Linked DNA regions of Drosophila melanogaster. The protein of the gene in region 2 interacts with the protein of the main gene of each other region in a pairwise test. Each region holds a gene or a part of one and is shown on either strand. Other genes may lie near its edges.

The links.
Region 1: the proteins of mEFTu2 (region 2) and mEFTs interact in a two-hybrid assay, tested with the Drosophila melanogaster proteins (2 studies listed by BioGRID).

What each region holds. Positions count from the first base shown.
Region 1 is NT_033779.5:17,498,449-17,502,609, reverse strand, and holds mEFTs (mitochondrial translation elongation factor Ts), read left to right. Parts: upstream 1-1,503; 5' UTR 1,504-1,941; coding exon 1,942-2,118; intron 2,119-2,326; coding exon 2,327-2,575; intron 2,576-2,680; coding exon 2,681-3,211; 3' UTR 3,212-3,342; downstream 3,343-4,161. Other genes in the region: Dhc36C (dynein heavy chain at 36C), read right to left, coding at 324-548, 611-1,143; CG15142 (uncharacterized protein), read left to right, coding at 3,848-4,161. UniProt on the Drosophila melanogaster protein: Associates with the EF-Tu.GDP complex and induces the exchange of GDP to GTP. It remains bound to the aminoacyl-tRNA.EF-Tu.GTP complex up to the GTP hydrolysis stage on the ribosome.
Region 2 is NT_033778.4:7,507,903-7,512,150, reverse strand, and holds mEFTu2 (mitochondrial translation elongation factor Tu 2), read left to right. Parts: upstream 1-1,793; 5' UTR 1,794-2,039; coding exon 2,040-2,444; intron 2,445-2,510; coding exon 2,511-3,276; intron 3,277-3,330; coding exon 3,331-3,530; 3' UTR 3,531-3,624; downstream 3,625-4,248. Other genes in the region: az2, read left to right, coding at 1-310, 367-1,359.

The DNA.
Region 1 (4,161 bases), on a different chromosome or scaffold from region 2:
TAACTTTAAATTCCCGCCCTTCGCTTGCATTGGTTTTTCAACTTTGTCGAACCAAACAACGCATGCATTTCAATATCAATTACGCTACTCTGATTTTGCCTCTCAAAATCCATTTGGCTTAAGAGAAGTTGCAATTTCATCTGCATTGCTGTATTTTTTTCTTTTTTTTTTTTGCATAGAAAAAGCTAACGAAAAACGTGAAAAATGTTTCTATATTCTGCCTGGATTATACACTTTTAACGGATCAAAAGTTTCATTTGCCATTTATCGAATAGAAATCGAAGACTTTTATCGAATTTGACATTAGCATCATGGAGACTCACCGATAGCGCCAAAAGTTCGTCATGGATTGCACCTCCCGCCGCTCGGCGGTGTCGTATTTGCCACCCACGCCCTCCTTGGTTAGGCGATCGAGGACCGTGTGCCGCAGGACGAAGTCCACAACGGCCTTCTTCATGGCGAACACGTAGTCCGCCCGGACTTCGGCTATGTTTTCATTGAGTGCCGTCTGCCACTTGTAGAGCAGTGGTGGCACAAGATCGGTTATCCTGCAGACGGAAAGCAGTTAGCAAAAAAGCAGATACATTTGAAAGTGTTCAGTGGAACGCACCTCTTGAGGATCTTCTTGCTCAACGGCGACACGTGAATGGTGTCAATGCCATGCTTGATGTAATAGTAATATCGCAGAATCTCGCGCTCCTCCTGGTCGGGAAAGGGTACGGCGCACTGGGCGGCCAGCTCGGGATCCTGGTCGTCGTCCATGTGCAGGATGAGCTCCACCAGCTTGCGGCGGAAGTGCTCCCGCTCCAGTCGCATGGTCATGTAGTTGGCCTTGGCCACGCCGCTCTCACGCTTCTTCTGGCGTTTCTTCTGCTGTTTCTTCGCGCAGAGTATGTTGTCCGGCAGGTCGGATTTCATCTTGCCGTCCAGCAGGGAGCTGGCGCATTCCGGCATGTTCAGTTCGTACCACAGGCGACGCGACTTGTACTCCGGATTGGCCTTTGACTGCAGGATGCTCTGCAGCACATCCGGCTTGGGTCGCGTGTACAGCATCTTCGACTTCTCGCATAGGCGGCGACCGCCGCATATGGACGTGAAGCTGGGGATGCTGAACTCCCGATTCGGATTCTGTCTGCCCTGCATGTTGAAGCCTGAAATCGGTTCAACGTTCGAATCAAAATGTGACTACAGAAAATGAAAATTGTTTTCAATAATTGTTTTTGAAACATAAAACGATTGTATCCCGCCGAGTTATTAATCAAAGTACTATTTAAAGTAAAAAAAAACACTAAAATATTAATTAAGAAAATAACTACGTGCGCCAGAATTAAAAAAAAAACTATTTATTAGGTTTAAGTTTTAAATATTTGGTTTCAATCCATTTCGAATCGGTTGTAACCGGTAATAGGTTGTAACATCCACTAAACGTCATTTGGCCAACGATAGCGTCGCCACTATCGATAGTCGCTTCGCAACAGCTGTTCTCCGCACACGCGCCCTACCGGCTTTTTTGCCATCCCTAACAGCCGAATTGTGCAACACGGAAAATTGTCAAAATTTTCAGTTTCAAAATTAATTGCTCGAATTAAGCACACAGAAAAGCCGAAAACTAAACTATCGACGCTTACCAGTCGTTCACCTATCGAGGCACCACACTCGCTTTGGATTTATTCGCGCCGCAACGCGATTAATTTTTCTTGAACCGAAGCGAACATACGAAGGAGTTGAAAACAAATGCAAATCTCACACAGGCTTTTCCGTTGTTTAGAATGAATTGATTTTCCGGGCAACTACTACATAGCGACAGGTCGGAAAACGGAAAAACAAACAAGCCGGCGAGTTGCCCTTGACAGCAGGCAAAGAGCAACAATTCAATTCGCACACAAATCACGCTAGAAATCATTTTGGCCTCCCAGTAAATTTCGGAAATTTTTTGGAAAAATGCTGCTACAAAGGTTTTTCACACGCGCACTTCACTCCACGCGGCAGCTTTATGCCGGCTCTGGCGGATCCGGTGGCCTGGAGAAGAGTGCCCTGGCGGCGCTGAGGAAGAAAACCGGATACACCTTCGCCAATTGCAAGAAGGCGCTGGAGAAGCACAACAACGACGTCGGATTGGTGGGTAGTTGGCTAATAGTTTTATTGCAAGCGGTGCAGTGAGCTTTCCATTACAAAGAGCACGAAATGGGGATCTCTACATTTTGAAAAATTGCTGATTTTTCTATATTATTATGTAATATATATAGCTGCACCGCATGCAAACTCCTTTGTGATCAAAACACATCTGTGCTAATCAACTCACCTTGCCATCATCTCGCTCTTGCAGGCTGAAAAGTGGCTGCACGAGCAGGCCCAGACCCTCGGCTGGTCGAAGGCCACCAAGGTCGCAGATCGAGCCACTGCACATGGTCTGATTGGAGTGCTCATCCGCGGAAACCGGGGCGCCATGGTCGAGCTGAATTGCGAGACGGATTTCGTAGCCAGGAACGATACCTTCAAGCGGTTCGTTGACCACGTCGCCTGCATGTGTCTGCAATACACGGACTTGACGGACTTCGATGGAGATCTGTGGAAGGTGAGCGAGATTTTTATGGGAAATGTACACAATATTTGGATCAGAACCGGTTTTGCATCCATTCCTAAAGAAATTGCTAATTAAAGAATGTGCATATCCTTTCAGCTTGGCTTTGATGCGGACGCCCTCAGAAACTTGCGCACGGAGGAGGGACGCACGTTGGGCGACCACCTGGCTCTGCTGATCGGCGCCATCGGGGAGAATGCCACCATCCGGCGCGCATTGTGCTTTAAGGCTAACAACGACCTGAAGCTGGTGGGCTACGCCCATCCCGCACCCACCAATGTGGGCACCACGGAAGGCATCACCCAGGTGGGCAAGTACGGAGCGATCGTAGCCTACCGATCCACGCACCCCCTGCTGGACTTTGAGTTTCACAAGAGCATTTGCCAGCAAATCGTGGGCATGAAGCCGACAAAGATCGGCGAATATGACAAGGACAAGCCGGCGGAGAACAAGGACGATGAGACGTGCCTGATTCACCAGGAGTATCTGCTCGATGCGGACAAGACGGTGGGCGAGGCTTTGCAGGAGCACAACTGCGAGATCGTCGACTACCATCGCTTCGAGTGCGGAGAGCACACGGAACGCAGCCTGGAGGCGATCATTCGCTCGCAGCACCAGAGCAGCAATTAACTAGCCATTAAGCAGAGTCTAGAACACTAAATTGTTATTAGCACAACAGCTGAAGATTGTTAAAACCGAAATTCTGGACAATGTTCTGGTCAAAATTTGCATGTAAAACAAGTAAAACAACCATTACGATCAGATCTCCACCTCTCTTATTTGAATACGCCATACCCCATGAGTCATGGCAAAAAATTGGGGTGACCAAGGAGAATGCGCCTGCGCAGAACGGGAAGCACGCTTGAGCGGCTTCCGGTCGCTGAAGCAGTGGAACCCGCGGGAAGAACGGGCGAATGGACAACGCCAGCAGAATGAACTGTTTACAAACGTGTTTTTTTGTTCTGCTTCCCGTAATTACCCACTTGGTCATGCGATAGCCCAAAAGAAAGAGCAAAAAGAAAGGTTTTTAGCTTTGGGGGCAAAGGCAAAAACCAAGTGAGGGTTGGGTATGCCACTTGCTTGGGGCTCATGTTAAGGAAATGGGAGTACGAGTAGATTTGGCCAGGGAGGAAAATCAAAATAGAAGAAATGGTTTTCCAGCCCTAAGAAATTTGCAGCACTGAAATATTAGCTACTAAGTAGGCCTGTCAAATAAATCCCTTTCATTATCAACCATCGATCGTCGTTAGAGATTCAATCGCCAAAATGGACTACCTGGACATTGAATCCTTCCGCTCCAGGTACAGCGACATAACCGTCACGGCCGTGCCATCGCGCCCCAAGGCGGACGAGGAGCCAGCAATGGACACCAACCAGGAGCTAGCAATCAAGACGCATGTGCCACAAGTGGAGATAACGAGGGTGAGTGGAGCCGCTTCTGCTGGCAGTAGCTCCACTGCGAATGCAGCGATGATGCTGCGCAACAGGCAGCAGACAAACAGCGCCGCACTTGCCTACGCCAACGAGTACAAGGAGGTGATGGCCAAACTGGAGTACACCAAGTACATGCAGGCCCAGTT
Region 2 (4,248 bases):
GTATAAGCAGCAGACATGCCTCTGGGATCCAGCGGATGAGTCGTACAGGGACAAGGAGAAACGCGCAAATGCCTATGAGGAGTTGCTGGAGCAATTAAAGGCGACCGTCAATCTTCACCTAACGGCCTATAAGCTGAAGAAGTGCATCACCAGCCTACACGCGCAGTATGCGTCGATCTCGCGGCAGAAGAAAACTCAGAAACTAACCAAGGTTCCACTGTACTACCATGGAAAGTACAGCTTTCTGGCAGAGCGCGGTAGTCTGGAGGATGCGGACAGCGATGATGTCGACGGCGATGGCAAAATAAAGGTGAGTCCGAGTGACAAACAGCTTTCTAAGCCACTCTAATGCGTTCCCCACGACAGCTGGTGTTCACAGAGGAGAATCAACTGACCACACAGTTCATTGATTTGTACTCCAAGTTTCCCCAACTGTACGATCCCGCGCACAAGCACTTCTGCAATCTAAACGTACGAAAGTCATCGCTCATAGAGATCACTGACCTGCTGACTTCGGAGTTTTCGTTGGGCCTGGTCACCCACTACGATGTCTACGACAGTATTCAGAGCATGCGCCAATGGTATTCGCGACGGATCAAAACCCTCACAGACGTCCAATGTGTGGGTCTCTCGCTGGCCGAGAAGCAGTACATCGAGCGCTGCAATAGCTTTATGCCCACTAAATCATTCCGACAGAAGCTTAAATGTGAAGTCTGCGAGCACTCCTTTAGCACAGATCACGCCCTGCAAGCACATCAGTTCCGGGATCATAAGATGGGCGATGGAGGCTGGTTTCGCTGCACGCTTTGCGAGCTGAACTTCGACCGAAAGTGTCACCTGCAGCAGCACAGCCAGCGTGTGCACATGGACAAGAGCTTTGTCTGCGAGATCTGCAGCAGGAGCTTTGCCTTTGGAAATCAACTGGCTATCCACAAACGCACCCATGACGAGAAGCACGTCGCCAAGCCATTTGTCTGCGAGTTCTGCGGCAAGTGTTTTAAGCAAAAAATCCAAATGACAACGCACGTAACTGCGGTTCACACCAAGATCCGAGCCTTCAAGTGCGACATGTGCCCCAAGGACTTCCTGACCAAGCGCGACCTCAAGGACCACGTAAAGGCGCACCTGAACATCCGCGACAAGGTCTGCGAGGTCTGTCAGAAGGCCTTCACCAATGCCAACGCCTTAGTCAAGCATCGCCACATCCACAAGGAGAAGACCCTGCAATGTTCGCTCTGCACGACGCGCTTCTCGGAGCGAGTTAGTCTTGGCGTCCACATGCGACGCACCCACAAGATCCTCAAGAGCTCTCTGTCGTCAAGCGACGCACTCTTTACAAAGACATTCCCTCAGCCTTGAGACATTTCCAAACCATGACAAGTATTTACATTTGTTAATAACCAGAAAATATGGCTATAGTGCCAAAAAACATGAATTTTTTAATGTTCTTAATGTATTATTACTCCTAAATATTTTTTAGTATTGAAACAAGAGATTTTACAATATATTTGTCCAAGCTTGCAAAAATGAAAACAAAAATGTTTAAAATGATTTCTATTATTCTATTCTATTATTCGACATATTTGAATTGTTCGATTTTTAGATAATCCATCTGAATTTTCTTAATAAAGACTACACTGAGCACTATGCATTTGTATGCCTTTGTGATATAGTAACTTGAAAACACAAAAAAGCACTGAATTTTGAAATTGAAGGTGTAATAATACTTATTTTTATATCTAATTTTGGGTTCTATTGGCGTAGCAATTGAGCATATCAGGAGTACATTTTGCCTGCTAGCCAGCAGAGGTTCCTTTGTCTGCCGTTAGAGAAATTTGTCCTACTATGTCAAATGTTAGAATTTATAGCATTTTTTTATATTTATTTCATTAACTTCGGGTAATCAAAATTTTCGAAGTTATCAGCTCACCTATTCTTGCGCTGTGCAGCACTGGCCAACAGCTGTTCGTGTTTTGGTTTTCCGCGACGTGCTCGGTGTTACGTGCTCTGCACCAAGATTACAGACCTGGAGAGGAGAAATGAGCGGACTCCTTCCGAAGTTGTGGCGCCAATGTGAAGCGGGGCTAGTGCGCCGTATCAGCCAGGCACTGATTGGACCCGGCGCCAGTCAGAGCCGGTGGACAGGGACCCGTCTCCTGGCCACCAGTGCGGATAAAAATCCGGCCCCGGGGCTGCGGGAGCTGCCCCACTGCAATGTGGGCACCATTGGTCACGTTGACCATGGTAAAACGACCCTGACCGCCGCCATTACCAGAATCCAGTCACAGAAGGGTCTGGCGGAGTACCTGTCCTACGACCAGATTGATCGGGCGCCCGAGGAGAAGGCGCGTGGCATAACTATAAATGCTTGCCATATTGGGTATTCCACTACAGAACGCACCTACGCTCACACGGATTGCCCGGGTCATGCGGACTACATAAAGGTAGCTCAGCCAAAAGAACCAACCAATGTTCCACCAATTTAACGAAACTTTCTATCTGATCTACAGAACATGATCTCGGGCGCCTCCCAAATGGATGGCGCCATTCTAGTGGTGGCTGCCACCGATGGTCAAATGCCCCAGACTCGCGAGCACCTTCTTCTGGCAAAACAAGTGGGCATCCAGCGCATCATAGTGTTTATAAACAAGGCCGATTTGGTGGACCAGGAGGTGCTGGAACTGGTCGAGATCGAGATGCGTGAGATGCTAAGTGATTTCGGCTTTGATGGCGTGAATAGCCCGGTAATTTGTGGCTCAGCGCTGCTGGCCCTTCGCGAAGATAAATCGGAGTTCGGGGTTCCGTCAATTGAAAAGCTACTTGAGCAATGCGACTCTTACATACCAACGCCGCAGCGCGATATCTCGTCCCCATTTATCCTGCCAATAGACAATGCTTTTACGGTACCCGGAAGGGGAACCGTGGTCGTGGGAACCATCAAAAGGGGCACCATTCCCCGGAACGCGGATGCAGACCTACTGGGCTTCAATCAGAACCTGAAGACAAGCATCAGCGACATCCAGATATTCCGGAAGAGCGTGCCTCAGGCACAGGCTGGCGAGAACGTCGGCGCACTGCTGCGAGGTATTAAGATATCCGCCGTGGAGCGGGGAATGCTACTGTGCGCAACCGGCTCCGAGGATATATCCAACCACTTTGAAGGCTCCATGTATCTGCTATCGCGGGCCGAGGGTGGTCGTGTCAAGCCCATGCTCTCCAAGTATATACAGCAGCTCTTCAGCCAGACGTGGAATGTTCCAGCTAGAATTGACATAGGTAAGTTAAAAACTTCAATGCTGTCCACAAAGCATTGAGCAAATCCCATTGCAGTTCCAAGTGAGGCTATGCTTATGCCGGGTGAGCATGGCCAGGTGCGCGTCACGCTGCTGCGGAAAATGGTCATGACTCCGGGCCAAGCCTTCACAATTCGCGAGAACGGAGCGACGGTGGCTACCGGTATGGTGACGCAGCGCCTGCCGTCCCTTGACCTGCCCAAGAACAAGTTATCAAAAGTCTTCGTGGATTGTTAACGACTCGAGATTGTATTTGTAAAAATTCATAAATTGCTGTTCATTACACACGAGTACTTTCTTTCTAATATATAATATTTGTATGTGTTTAGGTAATCTGCTTAGAATGTTTCAAACAAATGCCAACGTAGTTTAGGCTTGCATAGTCTAACGACATATCTAAGAAACCCAACTAACGAGTTACAAGCTACGCAGAAAATGAGAATACATAAATAGATGGAATGCAACAGCAATGCATCATCGGTGAGCTCTATGAGTCTTACTCTATCATCTGTAGGCTTTACACGTTCTTTAAGGCAACAAATCAGCCTGGTTAAGTACAATCATTGTATATAAATATTTAGTTATGATTTAAGGTACAAGGTTTAGGCAAGAAATGATTTCTTATGGTCAGAGTCTAACTCCAAGCATTTATTGCGTTTCACATATTAAGGTTGGTTCTTAACCTTCCATTACTTTTGCTACAAATAGTTCGTACAACAAAAAAAAACACTTGGCATCTCGGGACGGGTACGCCATTGGATACTCGGAATGGATACTATTGGAGTGGATAAACAACGGGTATTTAAGCTAAACAGGAACTACACAAACATTTCGGCAAAACGGCTCTACTCAATGTTTCATTATCTAATCGATTTTCTAAATATAAGAACAAATTAAATTTCTAGAATCGTTATACTCGTATAATACACAAAAACTAAGCAGTGTAATGTCATCC